Caenorhabditis elegans: one gene and its partner. The gene in region 2 interacts genetically with the main gene of each other region. Each region holds a gene or a part of one and is shown on either strand. Other genes may lie near its edges.

The links. A genetic interaction does not mean that the proteins touch.
Region 1: changes in wip-1 (region 2) and clk-2 together harm fitness more than expected from each alone (negative genetic interaction), as found in Caenorhabditis elegans (one large-scale study listed by BioGRID).

Annotation. Positions count from the first base shown.
Region 1 is NC_003281.10:7,514,683-7,520,045, reverse strand, and holds clk-2 (Telomere length regulation protein clk-2), read left to right. Parts: upstream 1-1,521; coding exon 1,522-1,677; intron 1,678-1,728; coding exon 1,729-1,936; intron 1,937-1,987; coding exon 1,988-2,121; intron 2,122-2,168; coding exon 2,169-2,501; intron 2,502-2,552; coding exon 2,553-2,705; intron 2,706-2,754; coding exon 2,755-2,858; intron 2,859-2,902; coding exon 2,903-4,067; intron 4,068-4,173; coding exon 4,174-4,268; intron 4,269-4,317; coding exon 4,318-4,423; intron 4,424-4,469; coding exon 4,470-4,649; 3' UTR 4,650-4,824; downstream 4,825-5,363. Other genes in the region: akap-17A (RRM domain-containing protein), read left to right, coding at 1-97, 144-269, 448-563, 606-690, 741-1,119, 1,172-1,308; cls-1 (Protein CLASP-1), read right to left, coding at 4,880-4,945, 4,990-5,363. UniProt on the Caenorhabditis elegans protein: DNA damage checkpoint protein required for DNA damage-induced cell cycle arrest and apoptosis, thereby playing a role in genome stability. Regulator of telomere length.
Region 2 is NC_003281.10:5,016,766-5,021,620, forward strand, and holds wip-1 (WH2 domain-containing protein), read left to right. Parts: upstream 1-1,873; 5' UTR 1,874-1,882; coding exon 1,883-1,993; intron 1,994-2,040; coding exon 2,041-2,263; intron 2,264-2,458; coding exon 2,459-2,524; intron 2,525-2,618; coding exon 2,619-2,770; intron 2,771-3,073; coding exon 3,074-3,169; intron 3,170-3,428; coding exon 3,429-3,571; intron 3,572-3,697; coding exon 3,698-3,925; intron 3,926-3,973; coding exon 3,974-4,043; 3' UTR 4,044-4,355; downstream 4,356-4,855. Other genes in the region: larp-1 (La-related protein 1), read right to left, coding at 65-393, 498-885; mdt-11 (Mediator of RNA polymerase II transcription subunit 11), read left to right, coding at 4,461-4,598, 4,648-4,762, 4,811-4,855.

The DNA.
Region 1 (5,363 bases), 2.5 Mb from region 2:
TGTTAGAGTTGTCGACATTCCAATTTGTGACCCACTCCGATCTCGAATGAATTCAAAAATCTCTGGTATTCAGCAAAAAGGTTTCGGATTAGGGCAGGTATCGCAGTGTTTTATTTGTAAAATCAAACGAATTGAATTTTTAGGATGTATTTTTTGAAGCATATGTGCAATTTATGGAGTATAAAGGTTTCGCCACTGCCATGGATTCCCTGAGAAATCGTAAATGGGCAAAACGAATTGATGGACGGTTCTTTCAGGCTAATGTCAAGGTATAGTAGGGTAGTAGAGTTAGTTTGCAATTTTGAAAAATCTATCACATTATTTCTAAACGTTCAATATCAATTTTAAAAATTGCATATTCTTCGCTGAAACGAATCACCTCGTGCCACTCTACAGGTTAGTTAATTTCCCAGAATTAAGGTTGAGAAATAGCTTAAAATTTCATAGGTGGATTTCGATCGATCACGTCATCTCAGCGAAGTTCAAATTGCAAAGCGAGCGGAAGAACGACGTCAAATTGAAACGGAACGACTGCGGCAAGAAGAAGAGGAGTTGAATATCAAGTTTGTTGATGCTACAATTTTAAAAATAACTCACCTCTTCAGACGTCAAGAAGAACTGAAAGTTAAACAAGAACTCGATGATAAAGATAGAAGACGAGAAGATAGAGAACGGAAACGCCGCGAAAAGGTTCACTTGAAACGTTTCAAAAAATCATAATAAAACATACGAAATTTCAGAGGGAACTCGAACGAATGGCTGAAGAAGAGAAAAAACGCCTTGAAAAGGAACGACTTGAAGCAGAGCAACGATCACGAGCCACTCGCCGTTTGCAAGGTGTTCGTCTTTTGAAGTTTCTGTTTGAAAAAATTGAAGCACGAGAAGAGAGACGAAAGAGAAAAGAAGAAGAAAAGTTGAAAGATGAGCTGAGCAAAATCAAAGAACTTGAAGAACAACCTGTAGAACAAGAAGACGCATTGAGGCAAGCTCTACTTCAGCAGAGGGAAATTCGAATGCGAGAACGCTTGAAAGAGAAGATGAAAGCTTCAGGAGCAGAGAAGGATAAGAAGAGAGATAAAAATAAGACTTCTAGAAGAAGACGAACTAATAGACATGACAGTGAGTTACCTTAAAATTATTGTCTATTTTTTAATTAAACTTTTTTTTTCAGCTTCATCCTCTTCATCCGAAGATTCTGATTCTCCATCTGATTCTCCCCACTCTCGTCGACAAAGAAAACGTCAAAGTGAAGGAGATGATTTCCGGAGACATCATCATCGGGAGAAAAGTAGAAAACGTGGATCCTAAGAAAACGCGGATCCTATTTTTGTTTCCTATTATTTTACCGGTAATTTCACTTTTTTTAAAACATATTTTTTGATTTTTTTTTCAGAATCTCAATAAACGTATTTACCTCTATTTTTTCTCGTGCATTATTAAACCCTAACCTGGTTTAATTTACTACTCCACGTTCAATTACCTTTCCTGAACGCGAGCTTCGCATTAAAAACAAATTTTCAGATGAATTTACGAAGTCGCCTGGTAAATGCCACGGAACGTGCTGTGCTTTTTCAAATTTTCAAAGATGTGCAGAATGATCCGGAAAAGTACGACAATGCAGTTGAGGCGATCTGTGAATCAATCGACTATTTTGGCAAATTTTTGACCGATAGCGAGGTATTGTCCTGAATTCAATATTTGTGTAATGTTTTATATTTCTAATTGTAGTATCTTACACAAATCAAGCCGATTCTTGATACACAGTGCCCAACAAAGTCGATAATTTGCTTCTCGAAATGTTTGACAAAAGTGAGCACAGATATAAATACTACCACATTTCGAGATGTGATCACCATGCTCGACTGGTTGAAGTATGTCGTTGAAAAATCGCTGACAAGTGCTATTTGTAGCAGTCTGAAAGTTAAAGAAACTGATGGTATGTGATCAAAAATAATTATTCTTCAACTGAGGATTTTTGTTTTTTCAGTCAGTGCAGTTCAGTTGTATCGAGAATTCGCATCAGCATGTTCAAATATTCCGGAGAAAGTTTCGAATTGTTGTGCAAAGGCATTGTCTGGCGAGCATGTCAAATATATCAACACGGTTAAGTGGATATTCAAAGTGGGTTTATAAGTGAAATATCGAGATAGATAACTTCAATTTTCCAGATGAATCTGGTGCAAGGAATTCAAAAGGCTATGCTTCTTGCTCACGACGACATTGTAACTGCTGCCCCGTTCACTTCATTCTACGGATCCGGTGGTCCTTATATGAAGACTGTCGCAGAAATTATTTCATCTGGAAGAAACATAGATATCACCAACAAGGATGGGCTTCTAGTTCAAATGATTGAATGGATTGGTTCACTAAACAATTTTGATTCTCAATGGCGTCGGATGATGTTTCTCATCTTCCAAGAGCCCACATATCAGGGAATTCAAGTTCATGAATCACTACTGACAACATTGTTCCTAATTTCGAAAAGTGACCAAATCTTGAAAGTTAGTGGTTAAAATATAGTTGATTATATGAAAACCAGTAGTTTCTTTCAGCGATGTATCGAAGCCACTGATCTGACTGGAACACTGAAGCGTGTAGTGATGGTTAAGCTCCCGTTTCAGCGAGTTCTCAAACGAAAGACCATCGAGATTCTTATCAATTTTGTTTATCGAACTAAGGAACAATTTGCCATCCAGCTATTAGAGGTAGGGTTTTGAATCTATATTTTCCGTATTTAGCGAAGTTTTTTTCCAGACTTCTGTGAAAATCTGGAGTGATCTCAATTACGCAAAAAGTGCTCCAGAATCACAAGAACGACACATAGTCAGAATGATATTATACTTGGTTCATCTTTTCAGGTAACAAATATATTAAGAACTACAGTAATAACCTGTCCTTTTAGAACATGTTCTTCAATCGATTGGGAGTCACTCTTCCTGAACTCTATGGATGGAGTTCATTGTCGAATGAGCATGTTGCCTATGTACGTCCAAAGTGGTATTTTTGTTAATCAAGCACTGTGCAAGCAAGCGACAAAGCATCGATCGAAAACGCACGGATCAGATGAGCAACCTCCAGAGACTCTAGAAGAAAACAAATTCGTTTCAAGTGAAGTGGGAAAAATATGGTTTGAAGAGATGACGTCAATTTTGGAACATGGATTTAATTCTTCTACAGTGAAAGATTCTGAGCGAGTTCGAGAAACCGCCAACGAAATAACCAAAGACGATTCGGGTGAAGAATTTGAAGAAACCAATGCACAGCGTCTTCAAAACAACAAAGATTCGGCAGCAATCACATCGAAAAACAATCTACGTTTAGATTCTGATGATGACGAAGACTTTCCTGACTATCAAGTTAATGAATCAGAAAAGATCTTCAAGAATTTAGAAATTGGAGAAGAACCGAAAAATAAAGTGACACCTCCAGCATACATTGCAGATGCTTTCGAAATGCTATTAGAGAAAGAAAAATACGAGGTTTTTGAAGCAGCTTTCTTTAATATTACGAATTTGATCAATCGCCGGCCAATTGGATTTCCACAAATCGCTGAGAAGTTGTTCATCCGAATCCTCCATCTTCAAAACAATTTTGGAACGCCTAAATTCAAGGAAACTGTTGATGAAATTGCAGTTGCATGTATCACTCAGCGTCCAGAAATTGTCCCATCTGTAGTGCGTCTGATCATTGCACCAGGTCAAGGTTTCAGTATCAAACAACGTCTTCTTCATTACATTCACAATGCTGCTGATGGAATGGGTGCATTGGATAAGAAACTTGAAGAGTGTGTAATGGCGCAACAATTGAGAATTGGTGGTCCAACGTTAAGTATTATTCTTCATCGAACTATAAACACTGATTATGACGATGAGGATGAAGATCCCCACAGACTTTTAGTTCCTGAATGGCGACGAATGGTGGATGCTCGCATTGCTGCAAATACCAGAAGAATTGGAACGACGCGAGAGCCACCAAGAGCCGGAGTTGTCAATCGTCTCGCACAAGCTGCCAAATATATGTTTTATCCTTTGTTGGTTTTGCCACGTGGTGAGAACGCAAGTCTTTTGGTGAGTACATATGTTTCACAACTTGTCAATTCCTAGTTTATTACGTGTTTTATCTTAGCAATTTTAGAATTTAAACGTCTGATTACTCTAACTAGAAACATTTCAGGGCAAGGACTCCGATCTACTCGCCTCACTCATCATGGTTGCATCGATGGTTTATGTGAGATGTGGCGTATGTCCTCAAATTCATCGAATGTCAAGGTATACCTTTTAACAAGGTTGTGTACAAATTAGTTTTCCTGAATTTCAGTGAGCTTATATCATATGCAACGCCTCATCGATTCTCTGAAAACGCAAAACTACGGACTGCCTGCATCATTGCCCATCTGAATGTGACGACTTTGTTGCCTGGAGATGTTAGTTTGAAAATCAATTTTATTTGATGTTTAACCAAATATTCAGCTTATGGATGAACTGTTTGATGTACCGGCACTTATTGGATGGTTTGATTGGGCCAATTCTGTACTGGTTAATGCATCTTCATCACAATTGGAAAAGGATATGACTCGCCAGTTTGGTCATAGTGTTACAAAACACCTTCAACGTTATCATCCAGCTGTACTGCAACACCAAGACGTTTAAATAGTTACTATTCACTTGTTTTCCTTCTTTTCAAGTACTGTATCATTTCTTACTATCTTGCCAACACTTTGATCTCTACCTCGTTCACTTCTTGCTTTGCCACCCGTTGATATCACCTGTCTCATTCATTTATCAGCATGTTCATAATATCAAAAATAAAATCTTATCAAATGTATTTTACAAAACTGATTGAGTTGACCCGCTTGTTGAAACATTCCGGCTCTTGTGTTCTAGTTAGACGATGCTCCTGATTCGGATGACTTGGCGCGGCCCACGTACAGGTCAATTAGGTTCAGCTGAAAATCGAATGTCTCTTCAAGAAATTTAGTTAAATCCTTACTTTACTGGCATTTAAAGTTCTCAAGTGTGGCTCCATTCTTTGCATTCCAACTCTCTGAACCAGGGCGACTAATCCGAAAACTGCACATTTTCTTACTGTAGATGACATTGATTCGTAGGCAGTGACAAAACATGGTGCAACGTCATTGACAATTAAGTGTAACTCCTCAATATCAATATCTTGGAACATTCTCGTCAACATTTTCAGAATCAGAACACCACGTTGATCATCATCATCTTGACTCAAAATTCGCCTGGAGATCAGAACGACACGCGTAAGAGGCAGATGAGAAGCCAGGATTCGAAGACAATCTTCTGCTGCAACACCCATCGTGTTGTCATCAGATGTACATGCACATTGAAGAACTTTCGAAA
Region 2 (4,855 bases):
TGTTTCATTTACAACTATGGCTATGAAAATCCGTGTTAGATTGAAAAAAAAACAATTAACTCACTGAATTTGATGGGGAGACATGTCCGTTAAGCTCGGCTTTCGCTAGAGTTGGCCAATCCTGAGTGGCAGCAACAGTGACTGTTTCAGTAACAGGAGCAGTTGCTGCTGGGGCTGTGGATGTTTTCCATGGCTCTTTCTTTGATTCTCTGGATTTTGACTTCTCTTTGATTGGCGCTGCTTGTTTAGGAGTTGGCTCAACAGCCCGTTTCTTTTCTGGAATTGGCGCTGAAGATTTCTGAACGACTGGAGTTGCAGTAATAATAAATTGGTCTGCGGCGGTTTCGGATTTTTGTTCCTTTTGAGCTGCGGCAGCTGCGGCTTCAGCTTCTTCTGAAACTATGATTTTTTTTTGGAAAACGTGAAAACCCAAGAACACTTTCAAAAAAGGCATAACCAATTCGGTTTATGAATATATAATTTTAAAAAAATCGCACCTTTGTTTTTGAACCAAGCGTTTATAGCCGGTAATGGAGCTGGTTCCAGCACAACAGGAATCTCAACTGGTTTCACCTCTTCTGTTGCTACCTTTTCAGCTGGTTTTTCGGTTTTAGTCTCTCCTCTCGGTTTTCGATCGCCTTTTCTGTTATTACGACGTTTTCCTTTTCCTTCACCTCGTGGTCTTTCCGAACGTCCACCAACATTTTCCTTTTCACGTCTGTTATGTGGTGGATGTGCCTGCTTTTCGGGTTGACTGTTTTCGTTTTGTGTAGAAGAATGAGAGCTATCTTGCGTGTGCTGAACCTGCTGTGATGGAGACGAAGCGTCTTCCGCCTGTCCAGAAACTACTTTTGCGAATGAGAGCATGGGCTGCTTCTCGGCCATCCGATCTTCTTTTCTACTTGCTGTTGATGTTAGCAAGTTTTTCTTACCTGGAAAAAAATATTTTGGACTGAATTGGCATTGGAAAATTTTTAAAAAACGTATTCCGAAGTGCGACAAAAAAAGTTGAATAAATTTACAAGCTAGAAAATGGAAACATGGAAGAACATACTATCCACTTTTTCGATTTTGAAGAACATCTAAATTTTTTAATGTTGTTCAGAAAGATTGTTCCGGTTTTTTCAACTTTCTGAAAATAAGACGGTAAAGAATTTTATCAGAATCGTTTGAAGTTTTGGAAAACAAGAAGACTATGGATAGAGTTAATACTTTCGATAAAGTTTTTAATCCGCCTGAGATTGTACCCTTGACGACAAATGGAGAGAACAGAGAAATGAGAGAAGATATTTAACCTTTAAAAAAGTGTTTGAACTTATTTGTTAGAAACCTTAATCAATGAAATGTAAAAGAGAAATCGCTTAAATTTAAATATTTGTCCAAAAAATCGATACTATTTTATTCTGAAATATTAAAAAAAACAGAAAGAAAGAAAGACATAAAATAGCGAAAAGTTCAATTTCTGCGTAGCGCCCCTATGCTTTACCATTGCACTAGAAGTTTACACACAGTCTGGGGGTACACACGAAATGCCCGGCAGCTCGCGCACCGAGAACGCGTCAATAACTAGCCCTCATGCGTCTTTTTGGTCGCCTTGACGCGATTCTCGTGTCCGCTGGTTTTGTTGTTTTGCCGAGTAAACACACGTTTTGAAGGCCAAGACGGGACAGATTATTTTTTTTTCAATTGTTTTTCTGCATGAAAGAAAGCAATGTTTCTTTACTCTATTTTCCCCGTTTCGTAGAAATTTCAATGTCTCCTCTTCCCTAGTTTAACCTTTTCTCAGTTTTGAAATAATCTTTCGATAAAATCAATGATGACTCATAAAAGTTTGTCTTATTAAAAGCGCTCATACTTCCTTAACTTTTCACTCTTTTAGATAATGCCTCCACCACCTCCACCACCGCCGCCTCCACCTCCGCCGCCACCTCCGGCTGCATCGGCTCCGCCACCATCCAGCAATGCTCGAAATGCTCTTCTTGGCGATATTCATGTGAGTTTAAAGTTTTTTTAATTTGTAAAAATAATTTAAATATTCAGAAAGGTTTAAAACTGAAAAAGACAGTCACGAATGATCGATCAGCGCCATCTGTTGGAAAAGTCGTTGGAAGTAGCGGATCTTCATCGAATGGAAATTCTGGAAACGGAAATGGTCCGGCTGCTAAACCTCCACAAATGTCTGGCGGATTAGGAGGTCTTTTTGCGAATGGAATGCCAATGAAACCAAGCGAGAATAAAATTAGACGAGCAACTACTAGTATAGGTATATCTAAGTTTAAACTTTTTGGCAATTTAACGCAATTCACAACAAGAATTTAAAGTACTAGGAAAATATACATTTCAATGTTTTAAAGTATTTTTTCTCGCACGGAGAACAAACTGGCAAAAAAAATTGTTTTCAGTGATATCCCTTTTTAAAATAACCGTTACCCATTATAACCCTCTATCCCACTTTCAGGACCCCCTCCAACCGCCTCATCAGCTCCACCAGTACCTCCTCCTGCTCCAGTTCCAGCTGTTGAAGGTACACATTCAGTTTTTGTTGTCGTTTTCCCCCAATTTTTGGTTTTTTCACTAATTCCAATTAACCCAAGTGAAAAAACAAATGTTTTTTTCAGGAAAAAAGCCATCGATTGTCTCATCATCTTCATTTTCTCATCATGGTGCCACATCTTCGGCTCCTCCTCCTCCGCCTCCACCACCGCCAGTTTCAGTTCCAAGCTCAAAACCGACTCCACCTCCACCGCCACCAGCTCAGCAGAAACCATCGGTTAGTCATTGAGAAATGATTTTTTAAAAAAGAAAAAAATAACTGTTTGGAAGTGCTAAAGAATTACCAAAATTCCGCAGAATAAGTCATCTTTTTTTCTTAATTTTATTCGTTTGTAAAGTTTTGCATGAGTTTGAAATTCGATGTTTACGCTTTCGAGAGATTGTAAAAAAATAAAATCGAAGGATTTTTAAAAAGAAACTTACAACTTGATATATTAAATTAAGCATTTCTGTGATTTGCTGTAAAATGTGAATTAATATTTTTTGTCCAATTGTATTTATGTTTTAGTGTTTCTGTCAGTTTCAGAGTGATCGTGAACAGTTCCGAACGATGAGACCTCTACGACCAGCAAATGATGTGAAACCGACAATGTATCGACGAAGTGGAAGTTCAGAGGTTTTTTTTGTTATTTTGTCGTTTTGCAGTGTTTAGTGGTTTTTAAAGTTTCCTTATGTTTTATTCTCCGGAATTATATTGTGCGCCGAGTCTTATAGACTCTGCGTCTCACCCTCTGACAATATGATAAGCATGAGAAGTTATGTAAAGGTAGGAAGAATCGTTTCGCAATAACTAGAAATTTATAATACCACTTTATGATCTAGTTATTTTGTCCAGAAAGGTAACACCAGATGAAATAATTTTTATTTAATTTCAGGATATACCGCAAGCGACGTCGGCAACCAGACTGGCACGTCCATTAGCTCCTCCGCCAGCTCGCCCAGCTGCACCACCACCGCCAGTACCAACGCCGTCCATAGCACAAATGTCCAGCAGATTCCAGTCGCCAGCGATATCACGGTTAGAAAAATTAACGATTTTTTGAATAACAAATAATTTTAAGTTAATAGTTTCGAGTAATTTCATGTGTATGTTATCAAATTGTTTTTTTTTAAATTAAAACCGGCACAAATCGAACATTTTCAGGACTCTTGATGATGCTCCCCCACCACCTCCACGAATCGCTTCAAAAACATCAGTTGCTCCAACATCATCTCGGGCTCCACTTCCCCCGTCTTCTTCATTTGCACCTTCAATTTCAGCATCTCCAGCACCTGCCCCACCTCCACCTCCACCGCAGGCTGCTTCACCGTATCCTGGAATGAAATCAACTGCGACTGTCTCAGCGAACGTTCCATTTCATCCACTTAACAGGTATTTTTTAAATTCATTTTTTTTTCTTCGCAATCTTTTAAATTATAGGTTCCACTTTCTACCGCTTTCTCAACTGCCACCACCACCTAAAGTTTCGTCTGGAAGTATTCGTGCCTGATTTGGTGCTGCCAAAATGCCTTAAACTATTTTTCTCATTCTCACAATGCTCATGACGTTTCTTTCCATCAAAATGTTTGTAAAACTATTGAAAATAGTCCGTCAATCCCCCAAACCCGTTAAATATAAAATTCCCACTGTGATTTGATGCCCCCATTTTCACTTTCCCCTCTTTCATTTATATCCAACGCATTTCTAAATGTGTACCACTCCCGATTCTATTATTTTCTCTTCGAATAACATAACCTGTTTCTAGTCCCATTTTTTCCTGGGTTTCTTCATGGTTTCTCAATAAATCTGTGAAAATTGTCATTCAACTCTTGTTTCTAACGAAATTTATTTGTTTTTATCATTTTCCAAATATCTTCACAAAACATATATGTTTATAAAATATATTTAAAACTCAAAAATTGCAGTTATGGAGCCAAACCCATCCGATCCTGTTCTAACAGATCGGATTCAAGCAATCGTGACGACTGAAAAAAGTATTGATGAGATGATGAAGTGTGCTCGAGAAATTATTCAAGATTTGGGAAAAGAGAAACAAATCGGAAAAGTTTGTTAAAATTTTGAAGTTAAAAAATATAGAAACATATTTCTTTCAGAATAAAATGGAAGATAATGCGAACAATTTCAAAAAACTGATAACTCAAGTGGAAAATGAATTGAGCGCTCAAATGCAATACTTATCGCATGTTTGTGTTGGATCATCACATCAAGGTATTACTCATTGGAAATTATTAATTTATTTCTACACGTACTTTTCAGGATCAACATTCGGTGTACTTCAAAACTCACTTCTCGCTCAATCTG